2 linked regions of the Caenorhabditis elegans genome follow. The protein of the gene in region 1 interacts with the protein of each later gene in a pairwise test. Each region holds a gene or a part of one and is shown in the gene's direction. Other genes may lie near its edges.

Region 1 (4,948 bases):
AGTTTTTCATTCCAATTCCAATCCATCTACTTTCTCTCTCCACCTGTGTCTCTCACCTCTACCATACTATTTCTCCCACCTTTTCAATCGACAGTTTTTTTGCTGTTTCGGTTTCTACTGGATACACGCCTTTGGGGCGTGGAAATAGAAGAAGATGGATGGATTTTGGAGGAAAAGTTGAAGGAAAACTAGAGAATGCTGGGGCCCGGATACTTATTATTTCTTTGATTCGATTTTCTTTACTTTTTCCCCAGTTACAACAGATTTTGGAAAATTTCACGAAATTCAATTTTCTTTTGTTTCTTTGGATGTTTTTAAAAAGGGATTTTGTAGTTTGAAAACTTGAAAGCTTACAGAAAATTTTATGAAAATTTGCATTAAATTTTCTGCAGTTTCACACTCTTTATTTCAGCGTTATAGGGGTTTTTGCAACATTGCTTCAATTTCAATTTTTCCTATTGCTAAATATAGAAAAAAAAGCGGTGGCGAATTCTTTATGAAATTGTCTAAAATCCATCTTGTATACGTTTCAAAAAAAATTATGCTGTTTCAAAAATGTAACTTGTTAGCACAGAATATACGGTTTTCGTTCAGATTCGTTTTCAATCTCAATTTTCAAAATCTTCAGTTGAAGAAGTTATCTTTTTCTGTTTTTTCTTCGTAAATCTGAAAAATAATCACTGCTTCAAGTTATTTACGATTTTTAATTGATTTTGAAATCTAACTCAATTACTTTAATTAATTCTGTCATGTTAATACATCTACAAAAATAAATCTTACTCCTATATTTTTCATTCAATTTCAGATCTGATTGACTTGATTTTCAAGAGTATAGCTATTGCTAGAATTTTTAGTTGTTTTTAAATTTATCATTGATTTTCCGAGTATTGTTTTATTCACTAAAATTTCCAGATTCACAAAAGTTTTTAGTGAAAAATAAATCAGTGAATTGAAAATGTTTTAATTTAAAATTCAGATTTTTCTCTCAATTTCTCACTCTAGCCGCTTTAATGTTCTCTTCTCTCAATCTTTTTGTTAATTTTTTGAAACAAATTATCACTGTTTCAAGTTTTTTTAAAAATAATTAATCAATTTTCAATTTTAATTTTCACATAAATTGCTTTCGCTTTCATGATGTTATTTTCAAAACAATATTTTTCACTATTTTCATTTGTTATATAAAACATGGTAAAACTTCCCATTATACTCTCTTTTTGCTTTCTTAACTCTAGTTTCCAAATTAAAATTAAAAAATTGTTTCTAAACTTCAATTATATTTTCCTAAAACTTTCCACGAAAATTAAAATTCATTAGAATTTCTTACAGTTACGAAAAAGGAGCCAAACTTTGAGATTTGAATTCAAGTTTTCCACTTTATAATTAAAAATGAAAATTTCTTCCTTATTGTAACATATCATTTCGTTAATTTTTTAAACCAAAACTTTAAAATTTTCCTGTTTCACGTTGTTTATAAGAAACATTGATTTTTTAAAAACATTGCTCGGTGGATTTTCTGAGTCTTTTTCAAAAAATAAAACAAAACTTTTCTCATGTTTTTATTGGTTTTCAAAATGTCATATATTTTTTACTTTTCCAATTCCAACTACAATTTTTCGAAAACCCAATGCTTCAATTTTTCTTCCATAACTTTAAAGTTAAATTAAATTTGATTTTATTTCAGCCAGTCAAATGCCATTTGCTTAAAAAGCGAGGAAATTTATCATCAGTGAAGAAGTGTAAAACATCTATTAAAAATGATGCGTCGAGGTGGATCGATGGGTCCACCGAGCGGGGATCCATATCAGAGGTTAGTATATTGTTTTATGAAAATAATTTAAACACAAATACAAGGCAAATTTGATTACATATTGAGATAGTCAAATTTTACAATTGAAATAAAGTTTTTAAAGCTTTAAACTTGTTTTGTATTGAAAATCCAAGTATTTGATAATTACTCCCAAAATTGTGTCAATTTTCTAAAAATTGCTGACAATCTAAAAGGTGTGAGACGAATTAACTCAACAAACTAAGGAAAGCAGAACTAGAAAATATTTGAACTTTTTTTTGAAATAGAAGTTATGAAACGGTAATTTTTGCGAAATTTTTTAACCTAAAATTTAACTTCAACGTATTTGAAAATCCATTACTGCAAATAAATTTTGAGACTGAAATATTTCTCAAAAATTGACTATTTCGCAATAGATGTTAAATGAAATTTAATAAGTCACCAGAATTTCAAACAGGATGAAAATGAAAAAAAAACAGCTTCAAACATTTTTGTTGAAGTAATTTTTTTAAATCTAAATTGCTTCCAGCGACTTTTTAGAGCTGTTTTCTGTATGTTGATGGCTCGTAATACCCTAAAATTCATTTTTTTTCAAATAGAAAAAAAAATCGAAAATATCGCTGTTTCAAAGAAATGTTATATTTTCAAAGTTTTATCAATGAATTGTTCTGCTGACCTTTTTATTATGAGAAGATCAAATTAAATCATTTATCAAATTGAAGTCGATCCCCTATGAAAGTTCGACTAAACTGACTTCAAACCGCTTTTTAAACCGAAAATTGCAACATTCTTACTGAGTCAATAAAAATTAGAAAAATTAAATGAAGATGCTGAAACTGTAGAGTGTTTCAATTTTCGGTTTAAAAAGTGGGTTGAAGTCAGTTTAGTCGAACTTTCATAGGGGGTGGAATCCTTTAATCAGAAAATTTTAAACTGGATGAAAGAAGAAGTAAAAACAAACAAATAACTGCTTCAGATTCATGTTATTTAATTTCTGAATTTACTTTTCCGTTAAAGAATTTACTTTAAACTTTTTTTTTAGCAAATTAAAAATAATCTTTAAAAATCTAAATCTTGAAAAAGGAAAAAAAAAATGTGAATATCAAAATTTTGACCGTTTCACATTGTTTTTTTTTAATATTGACATTTTCTGGTAGCATAATATCAACAGAAGAATATTACTTGTTAATAAAAAAATATTAAGAAAATTAACTATTTCGCTTTCCTTATAAATATTCGTTATCAGATTTTATAAATTAGTAAGCTCTCGGAATTTTCTTAAATTTTCAGTTTTAAAGTCAAAACGACTTCCTTAATGTTCTAGAATAACTCAATCAATTAATTAACCAATTAATCCGTTGAAATGTCCCAGTTCGACAGGATTTATTGAATTTTCGAAATGAAGTTGATTAATTAGTTTTCAAGATGAATATCTTATTTCTCTGTTTCACCACCACACCTCTTTGGGTGTGGTTTTGGAAACTTATTTGGAATGTGAACGATTTTCCTAATGCCAATGAACTTTTTGCATTTTTTAAATTAGTTTTTTGAAACAGTGATTTTTTGTGAAGTCGTTTAATTGTAAGTTTTCAATATTAAACACCTTAAAAGTTAATTTATTGCGAAACCCCCTATAATAATGATTAGAATATTTCAAAAGTTGATTTTGAATTACTCTGATAATGCGTTTGAAATAATTTTTTCTGTTGAAACTAATTTGTTTTTTATGGTTTCCCTGTCTTCTGCATTTTTTTGAAAGCACATCATTGATAAAATGTTTCTAAAGTTTTATATTAAACATTTGGAACCGTGAAAAATTTTAAAACAACTCCAATATAGCTAACTTTTTTACATGTGCTTGTTTTTTGGAACAGTTTATTTTTTGTGCAAATTTTTAAGTATAATATTTTCAACATTTTACCATGTTTCAATGTAGTATTAAATTTTACCTCCACCATAAAAAATTATTGATTTCAATCTTATTGGTACATAACTCAAATGTTGAAAAAAAAATTTGTTGCACAATTGGAACTGTTTCAGAATTTCCCTACTTTCAAGAACAATTTTTTTTGGATATCGCAGTGTCCAAGTTTTCGAAAATTTTAGTCAGAAACCTGAAACTGTATCAATTTAAGCAATTAAAGTAAATTTAAAAACAATTATTGTATTCTTAAAAACCTGAAAATTGAATTGTTTAAAAGTGTAATTCACTGGAATTCATCAATATTCAAACTTTTCACATATTATGTAGCAAAGTGAAAACAGTAGAATTTTTAAAAAATTTAGAAAAGTCCTATACATTTTCAAGTTGCGATCAAAAATGGAACAAAAAGAAGCTGTTAAGTTTTGCTTATTCAGTCAAACTGTTACTATAAAATATAAAATTCAAAAGTTCAAGAAAATCATTTAGATATGTAACCAAATAATATTCGACTAATTTCTAATGAAAATACCTACCTAAAATCTAAAATCGTAATCACGGTTTCACAGAATATTATTTGGTTACATATCTAAATGATTTTCTTGAACTTTTGAATTTTATGTTTTATAGTAACAGTTTGACTGAATAAGCAAAACTTAACAGCTTCTTTTTGTTCCATTTTTGATCGCAACTTGAAAATGTATAGGACTTTTCTAAATTTTTTAAAAATCTTTGTGAAAAATGCGACTCTCTCTTAAAAAATTCTCTGTTTTTGTATCAGGGGTGTGCGGCAAATTTGCCGATTTGCCGAAAATTGCCGACTTGCCGAGCTCGGCAAATTTGCCGATTTGCCAAATTCGGCAAATTTAAAAAAACCAGCAATTGCCGATTTGTCGAGCACGGCAAATTTCAAAAAAGTAGATTTGCCGAATTTGCCGAGCTCGGCAAATTTCGAAATTTGCCGCACACGTCAAAAATTTTACAGTACAATTTTGACTAAAATTATTGATTTTTTCGCCAAAAATTTAGTAAAATGACACAAAATTGAGTTAGTTTTATGCTTAAGCAGACATACTACACGGAACTAATTCAGAAACCAGATGTGTGTTAAGAATTCGGTAGTTTTGGTGTTCCAAAAAACATCAAAAATTATCAAAATTTTCCGAGTTTGTTAAGCACGGCAAATTTGCCGAATTTGCCGAATTTGCCGTGCTCGGCAAATATTGAAAAACCAGCAATTG
Region 2 (6,535 bases), on another chromosome or scaffold:
GATGGTCAATATTTTATCGTGATCGTCCACAAGACCACCCATGGGTCAGCGGAGTTGAATTGAATAAAATTGTTGCAGGAAAAGTGAATGTAAGTTCTGTGCTCTAAAATGTCCGAAAATAATTTTTAATTTCAGGAATTACGATCAAATCGTGCACTTGCAGATGCGTATACTTCACTTTTCCGATCATTGTCTGCTTGGAGCATCTGGACTTCTGCATTTGGTCTCTTCTCAGTTACTGCTTTCTTTTCAATTTATCTTCCATCTCTTCTGGCGTCACCCGATGTTTTTGTTGTTGAAGGACTTGGGATTCACAGTAGTTTCCCTTTTCAGCTTTTGGTACGGTTTACAATTTTTATGTTTCTTCAACATTCATAATTTTACAGCCGTTATCATGTATCATCTTTTCTTCTCTCAACGTCCTCTTCAAACCTTCAACAAAGATCGTCAGAATTTTAAATTTCACGGCATTTGCCATTGGCGCAATTTTGATGATCGCTATAGTTCTCGTCGCTTCACTACAAACCAAAGCCGGGTAAATTCCGTCTATTTTTCATTTCTATTTATACTTTAAAATAATTCCAGACTTTTTTCGCTTCTTCTTATTTCAATGCTACCATTTGGCTTGGCCATTGTCGCTGGATTTGTAAGAAGTTTAACCGTCGTTGGAAGAGTTTTTGCCGAGCAAATTGTGGCAATGTGTGCTGTTCCATTTGGACTGGCGTTCTCGATTCTTCCAATGGTTGTTACATATTCTGTGACTGAAAAGTAAGTATTTCAGTTTGTAAAGAGACGAAAAGTTGCTCAGTATTCACTTTTACATTTTTATTTTTTAGCAAACTGGCAGAATGGATGAAAGTCACAATGTTCTTATTTTTCGTTCTTTCTGCTGTCGCCATCGAGTTTGCAGTTTTTGGAAGAGGTAATTTGAACTTTTTTTAATGATTTTCACGATTTCCTATATTCCAGGTAAATCAGCGTCGTGGGCTGCTTCGTCTTGGGATCCGCTTGCAGCTTCTACAAAAATGCAATCTCTAGCTCTGATCGATTTTAATCAAGACGAGTGTGGACTTTACGAAATTCGAAGAGTTGAATCAAAAAAATAAAACAATTGTTTCTTTAAACACTCATAATTGGTCATGCTTTTAAAGCTTGTTAATTATTTGCTCAATAGTTTGCCAAATTTGACCAAAATTGTTTTTCAGGTCAACGAAACTGCATTATTTCAATAATAAAATCTTAATTTAATATTCATATCGCTCTCCCATTTTTATCAAATTTATTTTTTGTTCCTTCCCGTGTAGTATCACTTTCTGTACCATATTTTCCTGCTGTTTTGTTGTGCTTTTTCACATAAATTTTCTCGAACAAAAGTCCTCTGATTTTCACTGAATAAACATGTTTGTTAACAGGAGCGTGAGCGCCTGGCTTTGCGGAGTACTACGGTGGAATTTAAAGTGTGCATCACGTACACGCCGCGCCACACTTCACGACAATTCGTTTTTTTTCTTCGGCGGACTCGGCAACTGTTGCAGAGCTCGCCGGGCATCGACTCGTGGTGTGCCATTCGAGCCAACTGATTACTTTCATGCTGTTTTTAAGTTTTATAAAACAATCGCATAAATACAATTTTATTCCTAAAGAATATATTTATCTAGGCCAAAAAAAATATACTGCAGCGAGAAAGTTCAAAGAACATGTTTTGTTCGAACTTTGAATTATTCAGCAACACTTCATAGAAATAACACATTTTTTGTTCAAAAACAAATGTTTCTGTGAGAAACCGAAGATCATTAAACGTTTGTTGTTTTCAATTATTATCAAAAATTCGCGGAAAATGGTTCAAGCTTTAATTAATCTTATTTGAGTTTTCAGCATTTTTCTATTCGACGCAAACATAATCATTCAGAAAAAAATCTCAAAAAATTCCTCCTGTTCCCTATTGACTGTTTTCTCTTCTTTTTTCAATAAGCTCTTATCAAAATGTTTCATTTCTTTCGTTATTTCCAATGTTTCTGACACATTTTTCGTTCTCTGATCACTATTTTCTACAATTTCATTGCATTATATTCGAATGTTGAAACATTTTGATTGTTCAATCGTAGATTCAAACATTTACATATTTCAGGTAATTCACATGCTGCGCTACCAGGCGTCCGTGTACGGCGATTCGTACGGAAATGACTATCATTTACCAGTACAGGTATTTCAAATATGTTTGACATACAAATTTACAGTCATTAGAAAATTAGATGTTCTATGTCTTAAAAAAATGATTTTAATAAATGAGTTTATTAAATTTTTCAGGGACCATCAACAATCGCTTCGTCCAACGGACTCCGGTCGCAGCAAAGCAAAATAATCAAACGACCGCCGACAAATTACAAAGTGAATATTAACAAAAATCTGGATATTAGTAAAACATTGTCTTCCAGAGTATACCAGCATGTCGGTTGGCACCCCGTCGTCGTCTGTTCGTTGCCGATGGCAATGGCGTTCAGAAATCGATGACAAGTAGTTCAGGAGTGACGTTTCCACCACCAGATTATATGAAAAAGATGAAAGAGAATTACGAGAGTGGAAAAATAGTGAGCAGAATCGGCACACGTGTCTGATATTCTGTTTAAAAACTTTACAGATTTACATTCGTCGTAACAATCCTGGAATGAAAGGTAATCAAATGACTGGAAGACTGACTACAATAAATTCTTCTATACGAGCCCCATCGTAAGTAGAAAACGGCGACGATATAAATTTGAACATCACAATTCAATTTTCAGATACCATGCAACTTCAATGTCAGCAGGAAGTGTGACTCTTGATACAAGTGGCAGCGCTCCAAAATATGTGTATCGTCTGCCAAAAGCAGAATACGGCAATAAGTTCGATGAGTTAGTTTATTGCAATTAACATTTTTTTAAAACTCCAAAATTTTATAGAAATCGTCCCGCATCGAACATGTATGTCCCAGCACAAGAGCCACCGAAACAACATTTTACAACTGTTCCGGCATGTATGTCAATGGGTGGAGAAGTAGTTTTTGAAGAAGAATTAGACGATGAAATTGCCGATCTAGGAGCTGACGAATTGACTGGAGATGGTTTCAACGCTGATAAATCACCAAAATCAGAGTCACCTGATCCTTATTTAAAATCGTCCGGACCGTTGGTTCAACCATGCATGACATCAAAATCGCCCAGCTATAACTTGCTTCAGAGAAATCGGTTGCAAACGTCAAGATTTGCGTAAGTTAAGGTTATCTGATATAAATTATAAAGTGAATTTTCAGGTGTCCCCAACAAGACTGCTTCTGGCGTGGTACTAATGAAATGTCAATGAAAAAACACATGTTAGTTCATGGTCCAAAGCAGCCAGTTATATACGACAAAACTGGTGAGGCAATGAAAGTTCAGCTGGTTCAGCCAAAACCCAAAGGAGTGAGTTCGGTTTTTTTTATTTCTAAAATACCAAAAAGTACTTCTGAAATTCAGAGAAAAATTAAGAAAGTCTGAATTTGAATGAAAGTTTTGGAGGATATTCAAATTCCACGTTTTTAAGAAAATTCATTTTTATTCTTTCTCTGTACATTTTTTCAATATTTCTGAATTTCAGACCATTTAGGAAGTTTTGAATCAAAATCATCATTCTAGCTACTCACTCTTTAAATAAATTTTTCAGGTGAAATGTAGTGAATGTGACACATTCGCATATTCCCGCCCTCTCCTACTTCGTCATATGTATGACTCGCACGGAATTGAAGCTCCTCTTGTTAAACGAACATTTGCCAATCGTGAAATGCTCCAATCGTGGCTCGATTCTCTTCGTGAGACTCATGCAGTCGAGTTTGTCGTCTCATCAGGATCCAAAAAGTGGGGACGAGGACTTCAAGTTCACTATCTGACATGTTCTAGAAGTGGTGATCAGAAGGAGAGACCTAACAAGAAATACGTGAGACCACCCAGACCGTCAATAAAGTGTGGTAGAAATTGTATGGCTTATTTGAAAATCAAGCAGAATCCGACGGTCTCCGAACTACAAATTGAAGGATGCCTTCATCACAGTGGACATGAAATTGATCACACAAGAATGGTTCTAGAATCGAATGAGGTTTCATTTTTTCAGAAATTCATCTCATTGTAAAGTTGAAATTTTAGCTGGCTTCAATTGGAGCCATCGTCGACGCAGTTAATGAAGGTGTCGATGTTTTAGGAAATGTTGAAACTATTCGCAGTAAGTACTGTTCAGTTAATTTTCCCGTTATCTTTGAGTTTATAGGCTATCTTGGATCTTCTGGACGATTCCGTCTCGTCACTGAAAACGGACTAATTGAACAAATGCCAATTTGGTTCGAACAATATCATCGAGATATGGCTGCTTTTAATGGAACTGGCTATCGTAACAATTCAGGACCAATTCCAATCACTAACCCATATTGTAAGTACAATTAGTTTTCTCTTGTTAATTTCAAAATAAGTTTAGTGTCAATGACAATGAAACCTTCTATAAATGGAAACCGCAGACTTCCATATTCCGGTATGACTATAAAGGTATTTCTTTTATTGTAATATATTCTTAATTTTTAATATTTCACGTTTTTCCAGAAGGAGCTAGAATCAATTACGATGAAGAAGGCTGTGCCGATTCGTTTCAATGGAGGACAACTTCAAAATCTCGAAATGAATTCGAGTATTGAGGAGTATGACGAAAGTGTTAGTTTTTGAAAAAAAAAACATTATAAACCGTGATCGGAAAATCCCGTTGCAAATTATTGCAATTTTTACCAGAAAATACAGTATCCCCTTGATTTTTTTAAATGAAAGCTGCGCAAAAAGGTGTGCGCCTTTAAGATGTACAGTAGCCCAATCTTTGGTTCTTTCGTAATTTTTTTTAAAGAATTTCCATCGACTTTGCTCCTAAACCCTGAAATTCAAAAAATTGCATGAAAAACCGGAAATCTCAGCTACAGTACTCTCTAAAATTTTGCTTCGAAAATTTTCTTGACAGGGTCCTGTAGTTTTTCGTCAAAATTCGCATTTTTTGCAACTGATTAATAGAAAATGTATTTATTTGACTTTTTTCAATCGAATCTGCTTTTAGAAAGTCAAAATTGAAATGGACGATGAAGATGCTCTCGCGACTCAAAGTATTTTGAAAGATGACTTTGAAGAATTCAAAACCGAAGATTTATTTGGACTCGGTGGAGGAGACGATGAAATTTTGTGTGGCGGAGAAGAAGCTTCAGGAGTTACTTCTAATATTGATGGGATTCTCGCTGCAAATCTTCCAGATAACTTTAATGATCCGCTGTGCGGTATGGACTTGGCCACTGATTTCAGTGGACCATTTGATGATGACGTATTCGATGAGCTACTTGGACTCACTAATTTCAACGATCGTCACAATAATCTCAATATTTCTTAGAGTAAAATAGAATATACATAGCTAGATTTCTTCCTCTTTCAGTCTAGCTAGATTCCTTTTTTTTGTTTTAAAAGAGATTTAAACCTTTTTGGTCATTTTATCTTTTGTTCATGTTTTTCTTCTGTTGTGTAGTTTTAGATTTTAGTTCAGTGTGTTATTTCTAGTTGTAGTGTGTTTTTTCTTTCTATTTTACTCTTTTAGGTTGTGTTACCCTTTTAATTTTAAGAAAGCTTTGACTATGAATTAAATCTTTTATTGTAATCTTCAATTTTCAATCTTTTATAATAATCTTCAATTTTCAGTAGATCAATACATTTTGGTTATCTTCTTTTTTGAGAAATACCGTACCCACCTCTCTGCACTTTGTCATATAAGCTAGGAAGTTGGTTGTATTCTACGTTTCTTTTTACCTTTACATTGTTTCTTTATATTCATCTTCTTAATGCTCATTTCAATGTAAATATACTCGGTTATCAAAAGATTACCAGAGTCATCCATTCACCCTCTCTTCTGATTAAAGTGTAGACCCAAATTTAAAGAAATAATATATCAAACGTATTCCCTAGCTTCTGTTCTTTGTGTTTACGCCTATGAATAAAACATGAAATCCTTCTAACATGAAAAATATTATTATTATCACAAAAGTACATACTTTTAAAGAAATACAACCAGTTGGGACATAAAACTTGAATACATTAAAACAAAAAAACTTTGGTAGGAGAAAGGGGAACGAATATAAATCACCTAAAAGCAGAAAAATAAATAAGTTAGAAATCATTGGAATCGGGCGATGAAAACGAATTGAGGAGAGAGGGAGAAAAAACCAGTAGGCGAAGAGGCAAACTTTGCGAAAAAAGAGCATTTAGTTTTTCTTCTTTTCGGAATCCAGAACCTTGGCTCCTTTGACTGGCGTATCTTTATGATAAAGATAGACGATGGAGAACAACACGAGTCCCGCCATCATTGAGAACGAAGAGGCGTAGTATGGATATGCGGAGCGAATGAAACGTTCATACTGGGTGTGCCACAATGGACGAACCGACACCTGAATAATATGTGTAATGCAAATAAAGATTGTACATCGTTCTACTAACCTGTTGCACATCATAGAGAT

What was found.
Region 2: the proteins of eps-8 (region 1) and ztf-17 interact in a two-hybrid assay, tested with the Caenorhabditis elegans proteins (2 studies listed by BioGRID).

The regions. Positions count from the first base shown.
Region 1 is NC_003282.8:14,877,809-14,882,756, forward strand, and holds the start of eps-8 (SH3 domain-containing protein), read left to right. Parts: upstream 1-1,754; coding exon 1,755-1,807; intron 1,808-1,861; exon of another isoform or gene 1,862-1,882; intron 1,883-2,020; exon of another isoform or gene 2,021-2,041; intron 2,042-2,233; exon of another isoform or gene 2,234-2,255; intron 2,256-2,453; exon of another isoform or gene 2,454-2,474; intron 2,475-2,558; exon of another isoform or gene 2,559-2,579; intron 2,580-2,798; exon of another isoform or gene 2,799-2,819; intron 2,820-2,948; exon of another isoform or gene 2,949-2,969; intron 2,970-3,043; exon of another isoform or gene 3,044-3,067; intron 3,068-3,120; exon of another isoform or gene 3,121-3,141; intron 3,142-3,273; exon of another isoform or gene 3,274-3,296; intron 3,297-3,528; exon of another isoform or gene 3,529-3,549; intron 3,550-3,751; exon of another isoform or gene 3,752-3,775; intron 3,776-3,841; exon of another isoform or gene 3,842-3,862; intron 3,863-3,985; exon of another isoform or gene 3,986-4,006; intron 4,007-4,948.
Region 2 is NC_003280.10:7,865,756-7,872,290, reverse strand, and holds ztf-17 (Zinc finger transcription factor family protein 17), read left to right. Parts: upstream 1-2,128; 5' UTR 2,129-2,137; coding exon 2,138-2,203; intron 2,204-2,307; coding exon 2,308-2,388; intron 2,389-2,435; coding exon 2,436-2,588; intron 2,589-2,638; coding exon 2,639-2,727; intron 2,728-2,780; coding exon 2,781-2,891; intron 2,892-2,939; coding exon 2,940-3,245; intron 3,246-3,289; coding exon 3,290-3,437; intron 3,438-3,678; coding exon 3,679-4,107; intron 4,108-4,154; coding exon 4,155-4,230; intron 4,231-4,275; coding exon 4,276-4,434; intron 4,435-4,479; coding exon 4,480-4,547; intron 4,548-4,601; coding exon 4,602-4,709; intron 4,710-5,097; coding exon 5,098-5,421; 3' UTR 5,422-6,035; downstream 6,036-6,535. Other genes in the region: T01H3.3 (MFS domain-containing protein), read left to right, coding at 2-89, 136-339, 387-535, 586-768, 837-922, 970-1,106; ostb-1 (Dolichyl-diphosphooligosaccharide--protein glycosyltransferase 48 kDa subunit), read right to left, coding at 6,284-6,466, 6,516-6,535.